Linked DNA regions of Macaca fascicularis. The protein of the gene in region 1 interacts with the protein of each later gene in a pairwise test. Links are inferred from orthologs where the notes say so. Each region holds a gene or a part of one and is shown in the gene's direction. Other genes may lie near its edges. The genes, in order: C6H5orf22, ELOF1 and WBP11.

Region 1 (3,656 bases):
GCCTCCCAAAGTGCTGGGATTACAGGCGTGAGCCACCATGCTCAGCCAAGACTTACATTTTTTAAAAAATGGTATTTAAGATTATTACAAGATACTTAAGGTTTGAAAATATTTTGAGGCCAGGAACAGTGGCTCACACTTGTATCCCAGCACTTTGGGAGGTCAGGGCAGGTAGATCACTTGAGCCCAGGAGTTTGAGACCAGCCTGGGCAACATGGCAAAACCCTGTCTCTACAAAAAATACAAAAATTAGCCAGATGTGGTGGCACACGCCTGTAGTCCCAGCTACTTGAGATGCTGAGGCAGGAGGATTGCTTGAACCTGGGTGGTTACGGTGAGCTGAGATCGTGCCATTGCACTCCAGCTTGGGCAACAGAGTGAGACTTTGTGTCATATTTAAAAAGAGAAAATGCTTTGAGCTCATACAATATTATCAAATATGTCTGCAGGCAGGTCTGCTTTAATCATTACATTGCATCTGGATTTTTTTCGCTGGGTGGGTTTGATGTTTTTTGGGGGACAGGGAATGGCTGGGGTTCAGTCACATATTATATAATCAATTATGATGTGCCTACAGCTGCAGAGATAGAACGCTAAATAGTTTTACCATTTTGGCAAAATGAACATTCAGAATTCATCCTTTTATCACACTGACTGATTATTGCCAGTTAAATTGTTGATGTGTATCCAGAGCCTCTAGTAAAATAGTTGATTAGTGTGTTTTTTCATGCTTTGCACTTGTATACTCTAGGCAAAACTATGACATAGTTAAGTTCCATTTTTCAAAACATTAAAGTTAAGGTTGCAGAATGGTAGCATGTGAGCCACTTCTAACTTTCAGGCAAGTTTAGTTTAGTGCTAAGACTGGACATCATTCATTTAAATTTAAAACACATATGTAGATGGCAGTAGTCTATGGTTACACATAAAGGATACACAAGAAAACAGTTGGTTAAATAAGGTAGGACAAATATATTTTATCTTGTATCCTCTCAAAGCTTGGAATATAGTATTAGTTGCATGTATTAATATTTTAAAAGTAAGTAAAATAATGTGTTAAAAATGAGATGAGAATATTATGTACAGTTTTGTATCAACTTTTTATTTTTATTTTTTTTTTTGATACGGAGTTTCACTCTTGTTATCCAGGCTAGAGTGCAATGGCACGATCTCAGCTTACCGTAACCTCTGCCTCCCGGGTTCAAGTGATTAGAAGCTGGGATTATAGCCATGTGCCACCAAACCCAGCTAATTTTGTATTTTTAGTAGAGACGGGGTTTCTCCATGTTGGTCAGGCTGGTCTCAAACTCCTGAGACCTCAGGTGATCCACCCGCCTCAGCCTCCCAAAGTGCTGGGATTACAGGCATGAGCCACCATGCCTGGCCTCAACTTTTTAGAATCTAGATGAAATGGATAATTTGATAGAAAATGCGAATTACCAAAATTAAGTAAAGACCAATAATCATACAATAAAGAAGTAAAGAATTATTCTAAGAAGAGGCATCTGGCCCAGACAGTATATAGGTGAGTTCTACCAACACTTCAGAGAGCAGATAACTTTTATGACATAGAAACTGTTAGAGAAAAAATAATCCCAAAGCATAAAGATTAAAAATTAAAAGTTTGTCATATTTAAGGTGTTGGATAGTCCAGTTACCCTGATTTGATCTTTATATGCTAGTATGAATGTATTAAATTATCACATATACCCTGAAAATATGCACATCTTTTATGTATCAATAAAAGTAAAGATTTGTCAATAAGGCCATTAATGATTAAAGAAGCTTATAAAAACAATTGTCATACAGTGTAATTTTTGTCTTATTTTCAGGTTCACCAGGCTGGTTTAACCTGCGATTATTCAGAACTTCCTCACCACATCAGCACAGAACAAGAAATAGAGTATCTTATTCAATCTGTGCATTATTTACTGAAAAATTTACCAAATCCTACTCTTGTGACAATTGCAAGGTAAGTGTGTTCGGTAGAATAATGGCAAACCAGAGATGTGCACATCCTAATCTCTGGAACCTGTGAATGTGTTGCATTATATGGCAAAAGGGAATTATCAGTGTGATTAACTCAAGGATTTTGAGATGAGATTCTCCTGGATTCACCAAGTGGGCCCAGTGTAATCACAAGGGTCCTTAGAAGAGAAAGGCAGGAGGGTCAGAATCAGAGAGAGTGATTCGAAAATTCTGCCCTGCCGGCTTTGAAGATGGAGGCCACGAACACAGGCAGCCTTTAGAAGCTAGAAAAGGCCAGGGGACAGATTATGCCTGGGATCTTACAAAAAGAATGCAGCCCTGTTGGCACCTTTATTTTAGGACTTCTGACCTCCAAAAGTATATGATAATAATTTAGTGTTGCTTTAAGCTACTAAGTTTGTGGCAATTTTTTATAGCGGCAGTAGGAAGCTAATAAAATTTCTGTAGGTAAATGTAATGATTACTAATAAAATAATACAATTTTTTTTACCTACTCAGCTCAAAATTTAGATGTTGTATTTTCTCTTCCCTGGTTTTTTTTGTTTGTTTGTTTGAGAGGAATTTCGCTCTTGTTGCCCAGGCTGGAGTGCAATGGCACAATCTTGGCTCACCGCAACCTCTGCCCCCCGGATTCAAGCAGTTCTCCTGCCTCAGCCTCCCAAGTAGCTGAGATTACAGGCATGCACCACCACGCCTGGCTAATTTTGTATTTTTCATAGAGACGGGGTTTCTCCATGTTGGTCAGGCTGGTCTCAAACTCCCGACCTCAGGTGATCCACTCAACTCAGCCTCCCAAAATGCTGAGATTACAGGCATGAGCAACCGCACCTGGCCTTTTTCTCTTCCCTATTAGTGATGATATGCAAACAATGTAGTTATTGTTACCTTGTCTTTGCAGTTGGTAAGATTCAGATGAACACAAGAATTCTCATTTCTGTGTCCTACCAATTAATATTTAGCTGCTGCCATGTTTTAAATTTGAATATAATTGCTGAATAGTTATAACAATTTAATAATGCTTTCCTATGTTAATTTTTGGGCTGGTTTTGTATGGAAGTATGAAGTTCTGAAATAAGTACTTTAAGTACTCAGGCTAATAATATGTAATTCATGACAAACATTTTGTAACATCCTTTTATCATTCTGAAACCTCATATAATGTAACCTACCTATATGTAATTTAAATATATATAGATAATATTCATAATATACATAGATAATATACATTATATATGTAATATAACCTACTATACACATAATACCTATACACATAGGAGGAATTAAAGTAATTGATAATAAAATATATTAAAATGCCAAACTAGACTCACATATTTAAGACATGCAGTTAAAAATGTACTATAGCAGTTACACTACATGATGTAAATGTAGCAGTTACAAATGCAGATACCATGTGTTGACCAGATGCCATGAACAGCACTGCCATAATGACATTTTTCAGTCATTGAACAGTCTCTTCATAAGGATCTGCAGTTAAAGTCCAGTCTTTCCCCAATTTACAGAGTAGTTGCATTCCTGGAAAATTTAGTTCATATTTAATGCATTTTTTAAAAATACTTTTCTATATAATAAAGTGTTCAGTTCTAGGCTGTATTAGTCTGTTTTCATGCTGCTGATAGAGACATACCTGAGACTGGGCAATATACAAA
Region 2 (2,322 bases), on another chromosome or scaffold:
TTTTTAATTTTTTTTTTTTTTTTTTTTTTTAAGAGATGATGCCTCACTCTGTTGCCCAGGCTGGTATCCAGCTCCTGGCATCAAGTGATCCTCTCACCTTAGCTTCCCGAAGTGCTGTCTGGAATTACAGGTGTGAGCCACCATGTCTGGCCTTGTCTCTGTTTTATGGATGAGGAAACGGTGGCACAGAGAGCTTAAGTAACCTGCCCAGGTCATGCAGTAAGTGAGAGAGACGGGGTTAGAACCTCCGCTCACCCCTTCCATCCAGAGTGGAACAGGGGATTTTCCTCCTGTATCAGGACTGAGGGCCTCGTCGCTCAAGGGCAGAGGCCCCCAGACCATAGTGCAAGTCCTAGACCCTCTTTCCGGCCTGCTTTCTAGAGCATTGAGCGGGGGGCTGCGTGGTTTCCTCAAACCACTGACATCTGCCACTCCCCACAGGCTCATCCACCTGCAGACATGGGGCGCAGAAAGTCCAAACGAAAGCCGCCTCCCAAGAAGAAGATGACGGGCACCCTCGAGACCCAGTTCACCTGCCCCTTCTGCAACCACGAGAAATCCTGTGATGTGAAAATGTGAGTGGGGAACGGGGCAAGGGATCCATCCTCCCCACCACCTCCTCCCCGCTGTTCTCCATCCTGCCCCTTGCCTCCCTTGGTGAAGGCGTCATCACCCACAGGCCCCGGGCACATTGCTCACCAGTCCCTTCTCTTGGTCTGTTTCAGGGACCGTGCCCGCAACACCGGAGTCATCTCTTGTACTGTGTGCCTAGAGGAATTCCAGACGCCCATAACGTGTATCCTTAGAAACCTGGGCTTTTTCCAGAGGATGGGGAGGGGGCTGGAGTCCGGACCCTGCTCCTCTGGCCCACTGTGTGCCCTGGTGCAGGGCCAAGGCCGTCCAGAGGAACAGGTGCCACCTACTGATTTATGTGGGGTGAGAAGGTGCAGGGCAGGGTTCCAATGCCAATGATCACCCTTGACCTAAGCGGCTCAGATCTATCAGAACCCGTGGATGTGTACAGTGATTGGATAGACGCCTGCGAGGCAGCCAATCAGTAGCAACACAGAGGACCCACCCCCTGAGCAGCCCCGCCTACTGTGGACCCAGCTGTTCGGTTCTGGTCCAGAGACATTCCAGGGGTCCAGGGTGTGGGTCCTGGGCTGTCACAGCCCTCTGTGTGTGTGTGTAGAGTGGGCGTGGGTGTGAGTGGGTGTGTGTGCCAGTGTGGAGTGGATGTGGGTGTGTGTGTGGCTGCACGTGTCACTGGGGTGGCCGTGAGTGTGTGCTCATAGATACGCAGTGGTGGCAGGTTCCTGGGCCTGAGGGGCCTGAACTGACCTCTCTTGGCTCCAAAAGCCTTTGCTGTGTTCCCTTCTTCAGCCCCTGGCCCCCCAGCTTTGGGGCTCTGGCTCCCCCCCGGCGGAAGTGGGGGGCTGTTTCCTGATATCCTGAACAAGGGAAGCCCAGTAGAGGCTGGAACTGGACCTCTCCAGCCTCCTCACCAGCACCGTGCCCATCTCAACTGGACTTCCCGCCCTCCTTCTCCACCTTCTAGTGCCCGTGGCCTGGGATTCAAAGCCACTGTTCCCCAGGTCCCTGGGCTGGGCCCTGACAGGGAGCCGCCACCCTCCCCATGCTAACAAGGAAGCCCAGTTTCGTGTTCAGTTTCTTTTGTAGAGGAAGCAAGGGCTGGGGTGGGGACAGCTGTCAATCACAAGCCCTTAAATAAAGCAGCCAGCGCACATCCCTTGCTGTCCGTGATGTCTTGGGTTCTGCGTCTGCCTCGTCACCAGAAGAAGGAGAGGGGACCTGAGGTTCCAGCGTTTGGGAGGTGGCCTGGTGGCGCATGTGACCAGCCCTTCACACCGCCCAGCATTTTATTCAGTCAGTCAGCATTCAGGGTGGCGGAGCAGGCAGACATCTGGCCAGGTGCTTACAGCAGTCACATTAGGAGATGGGGTAGGTGAGACAGAACAGGTGGTCAGAGGAGGCTTCTGGGAGGGGCAGGCTGAGGCGGTGACATTGTAGGGCCACCTCTAGCCAGATGCTGACCTCTGGCCTTGCCTGCATCACCCCAGTGTCCTGACAGCCACCCTGTGGGGCAGGTGCCAAGCTAACCCCAGGTTCAAAGATGAGGAAACTGAGGCTAGAGGTGAAGGAGGTCACTGGCCCAAGACCCTACAGCCAGAAAGTGGCACGGGGGATCTGAACCCAGGAAACCAGGCTCCACAACTTACAGTCTGACTTCTTGTGAGCCCAGAGTCCAGGCTGAGGGACCAGCTCACAGGCCGTCCTGGAGGTAGTGGGTGGAAGAGGGAC
Region 3 (4,351 bases), on another chromosome or scaffold:
CAGTAAGTAATTCCCATGAGGACTCTTTTAGTCTATACTGACAAAATTATTAATATGCTGTTGATGCCAGACTGCGTTTGTTATAGCTGATTCTCCCATCCAAGTACAAGAAATGTATTGAAATAAAAACTGCTCAGCCTATCTTAATAATATTAGCTACAGGAAAAATTTTAGCTACATGAAAGACTTTAATATTTCCAACAAACAGTTTGTTTTCTCTTTCTCTTCTCGCATTGTTTTTCAAAACGAGTTGCAAAACTATGACCACTAATATGGTGTTAAGAAGAAAAAAAAACAAGTTGCAAAATATTACAACTTAGTTCATCTTCAAAATTCAAGATTATTTTCTTTTTTATGTGTTACCTGGTTTATCAGCTTTAACCTACCAGATCTTGTCATTGCTTTCCGACACTGAAATTCAATCTAAAATCAAATCAAGAATTTCCTAACACAAAGGTAAGTTTAGGTATAGGACCGATCATATTACCTTCAAGGGCAGTTTAAAGATTCTGCCAAAAATTAATATGTATCTCCAACAATATTTTGAAATATTTATAACTGGTGGTAAGAATAGACTTCCTACAAGGGATAGTCTGGTTAAGATTAGAAATAACCAAGCGTACCCTCTAAGATAGTTTTTTAAATGTTTAAACTTACCTTTAAGGGAAATAAGTGGGGGCTGACTCAGGGAAAGAGGGGATAGTAGGTAAGGAAAGGGCAAAGGCTAGAGTTAAGTGAATAATCCTGTACGTAGAGTGACATCATAGAGGACTTTTGGCTGGTGAATAGACCAGTAGGGAATACGGCCAATATATATCAACCTTGCCACTCATAAACTTAAAACCGACTGCATATGTATCCCCGTATTTCTTCTTCAGAACACTACTAATAAATAATAAATAATAAATCACCGCCCGTATAAGCAATTTGCGACTCTAATACGGGTGCTGATTTATTTGTTCAGGTGGTCTACAAATGTTCTGTTCTGCGCGTCTATTAAATTTCCACACGTACCAGACGCCCACATGGGATAACCTGATGCTTACAAAGCGGATTAAACTCAGTAGCAAATGTTATCTGGGTATTCGTTTACAAACGGAGACACCCCTAAAGGATCGCACCTGCTTGCGTCATAAGAAACATAAAAATCCAAAAACTAACGTAATTCCAAGAGACACAAAACGCGGAACGCTTCTGCATCTGCAGAAAGTACCGTTCTCGGACAGATCAACGCATTACGCCCACAGCAACTAGGTCAGAACGCCTCCAACTTGAGAGACAGGACCGTCAGCCAATCAGATAGCAGCTATCTTCTTTCAATTCCTATTGTACTAGATGAGCGCAATGAGGCGGGCTCTTAGCCGACAACCAACCAATGGAGTATTGTATGGGACCGGAAGAGACTCTGGTCCTGGAATTCTTGAGTATTCTCTATGGTTCTAGGGCCGAGCTGCGCTAAGAGACAGCGGGACAGAGGAATGGGAAATGACGTAAGGATTGCGGAGGGGCGCGAGGTTTCAAGATGGCGGTAGCTGAGGGGTAGACCGAGAGGCCGAGTTGAAGGCCCTTACCAAGTGAAAGAGGCCGGGAATCGCCCCCTGCCCGCTTCTCGTAGTCCTGGGAGCACAGCAGAAGTGTGAGTGTATGGAGTTGCTCTACTTCTTTTCCTCACCTCTTTCGTCCCTTCCACGGCCCGCGCAGTGGCTTGGGGGACACCCAGTCCCTTTGCCCCGCTCCTCCTCTCCCCGGCTGGGGTCTCCCGGTTGCGGACTGGGGTATTCCAGGGCCTGGGGTGGCGCGGCGACCAGTGGTTACGCGGTTGGCATCGCCCGGGGCGGTTGGGGCCGCTTCCTATGCACGTTGATTGGTAGCCTTAGGTTTGACGTCTTGTACCTCGAGTCATGGTCGGTCAACCGTCACTATGGTTTCGGCAGTTGCTGGTGTTGCCTCCTTTGGTGGACCTGGACCCTATCCCATTGAAGGTTTTTTGGCTATTTACAGTTCCCCAACGGTTATTTGGCTTGATTTTTCCAGTCGCCCCCGCTTGTAGACAAAAAACTAATCTTTGCAGACTTAAGCTCCCGTATCTTCCGTAAAATTCTCTGTAATTCGTATCCGTTGTGTTTCATTTGTGGGGGAGGAGATTCAGAACATGAGCCCGCTTGAGAAAGGAAAGCACGAAAAACGCAGGCAATCAAAGATGGGAGAGCTTGTATTTGTACGAATTTTGCATGTTTTCTTCCTTCCCTACCTCCTACTCCCTGCTGCTCTCCCACCCACACCTCCACCCCCCAGTTTTTCTGAGAAGGAAACCACTTGACAGGGTATATGGTAGCTAGAGCAGGAATATGGATCCATTATAAACATTATAGTTAAATAGTGAGTCAAACATCACAAGATATTTTATTTGTAATCCCGTTGTATCATCAGAGCTTTGTTATAAAGTAATTGATGGCCCCATTTTTTAGATGAGGAAGCTAAAAATCAGAGCCTTTGACACCACCGTCTTGAAGTAATTGCCACCAGAACAGCTATGAAACATCTAGCTTTCTGAAACATCTGGCTTTCGGGGCAATTGGACACTTGGCGAAAGACACATTAACTGTAACAAACTGGTCTGAAAATCTTCCCTTTCTTCCCTTTAAAAAGTGTCTACTTGCAAAAGGAAACAAATTTGTCCACCTTTGTTACTGGAAAGAATGCTTCAAAAAATTAAGCCCCATTCTTTTGGAATAAGAGGAAGAAGTCATGTAATAGGGTATTGTGTTAATAAAAGTTTTAGCTTACAAAATATTTTTTCCTCAAACAAGAATAAGTATTCCCTTTAGTTACCTTAAGAAATATATATTGGGAGTCAGGTATTAGAAAAATATGTGTCTTAATATTTAAATTTTGGGGAGCTCTCAGTGTAGCACTAATTTCAAATACTTGCATTTTTAGTTGTGTTTTGAACTCTTGAGAGTCAAGCATTATATCTGAATTAAATATGCTTAAATGAATGAGTTTTTAGCGTCTTAGAAGTGTTGAGAATGTACAGCATACATGCCAAGAAAAACCATGGAGCGAGGCAAGAGTGAGGTGTTTGTTTTGAGCCTAGATCCATTACCCCCATTCCGTTCGTATTCTTCTTTTACAATTACGTGTTAATAAAGGGAGGTTATAGAAGAAGGACTAATGAATTCTGATGTTCATGGTTTGTGCCATATCGTTAAAGCATTTTCTAGTTGTTTTTTTATCAGTTGACAAAGTCAGCGCTGTGATCCATAAGAAAAAAGATAAAGTAATGACTTGAGGATATTCAAAGTGGTCTTCACACTCATCACATTTCCAAAGAATGATGAAGATCTAAATTTTCATGGTCAAGGAACTTAATGCCATCTTTCTTGGACATTAAAGTCAAAACTAAGGAAAGAACAGTCTCACAGAATTTCTAATTAAAGGAATTTTTTTTTTCAGAGATTGGTAGGGACTAGAAAAAGGAAGAAATAAATTTAGGAGATATAAGCTATTTCTTTGTCTTCACCTTCACAGGTTTTTCTTTTTTTAATGAACAAGTAAACCATACAAATTGTCAACATGGGACGGAGATCTACATCATCCACCAAGAGTGGAAAATTTATGAACCCCACAGACCAAGCCCGTAAGTGTCCATTAGTGTGGAATGATGAAGTAGGAGAGTGTTAAAAATTGCACATATTAGGGAATTTATTTCTCTGTGGCTTAATTACAAGACCAGCAGTGATAGGAGGAATAAATTGTATATTCAGTGTTTGGATGGGAACATTAAGACGTTAAACATGCAAAGAAATTAGTACCCATATTTTAGTTTTCAGATTTGATTGACTTGCAAAGTAGAATTGGCTGAAAGTTTTCTTTTTGTATTTGAAATTTTGAGCAAATTAGTTTTGCGAGCCCTTGTTTCGCATTTTATGTTATCTTTTTCTTTCAGATTCATAGTTGTTTTTTATGGAACATTAAACAAAAATGTCTTGACATTTTTGGTTGTCATAATTAGAGGGATGCTCTTGGCATGTAGTGGATAGAGGCCAAAGATGCTGCTGTTTTACAGTGCATACTATAACTTCCCACAATAAAGAATTACCTGTATGAAATTGAAGGAAATGCTAATGTTCAAGATTCAAAAATTTTATTATATCTCCCTCTCTCCTTTTAAAGGAAAGGAAGCCCGGAAGAGAGAATTAAAGAAGGTATGATTTCAGAGGCATCTTATAAAACTTTTAAGTACTATTTGGCACATCTTGTGGTTTGGGATTAGTGGGTTTCAGAATAACATTTCTAATATTTTCTAGAAAAGATGCTTTATGCTTTTTATAAAAACTGTAAGATATAC

Evidence for each region.
Region 2: the proteins of C6H5orf22 (region 1) and ELOF1 interact in binary tests that used the Homo sapiens proteins (3 or more experiments, as listed by UniProt). The two-hybrid records come from large-scale screens. The link is inferred for Macaca fascicularis from reciprocal best matches to the Homo sapiens genes C5orf22 and ELOF1.
Region 3: the proteins of C6H5orf22 (region 1) and WBP11 interact in binary tests that used the Homo sapiens proteins (3 or more experiments, as listed by UniProt). The two-hybrid records come from large-scale screens. The link is inferred for Macaca fascicularis from reciprocal best matches to the Homo sapiens genes C5orf22 and WBP11.

Annotation. Positions count from the first base shown.
Region 1 is NC_088380.1:32,142,096-32,145,751, forward strand, and holds part of C6H5orf22 (UPF0489 protein C5orf22 homolog), read left to right. Parts: intron 1-1,832; coding exon 1,833-1,972; intron 1,973-3,656.
Region 2 is NC_088393.1:12,127,380-12,129,701, reverse strand, and holds the end of ELOF1 (transcription elongation factor 1 homolog), read left to right. Parts: intron 1-441; 5' UTR 442-459; coding exon 460-575; intron 576-725; coding exon 726-796; intron 797-996; coding exon 997-1,061; 3' UTR 1,062-1,747; downstream 1,748-2,322. UniProt on the Homo sapiens protein: Factor involved in transcription-coupled nucleotide excision repair (TC-NER), a mechanism that rapidly removes RNA polymerase II-blocking lesions from the transcribed strand of active genes.
Region 3 is NC_088385.1:17,580,456-17,584,806, reverse strand, and holds the start of WBP11 (WW domain-binding protein 11), read left to right. Parts: upstream 1-1,492; 5' UTR 1,493-1,636; intron 1,637-3,531; 5' UTR 3,532-3,576; coding exon 3,577-3,640; intron 3,641-4,176; coding exon 4,177-4,208; intron 4,209-4,351. UniProt on the Homo sapiens protein: Activates pre-mRNA splicing. May inhibit PP1 phosphatase activity.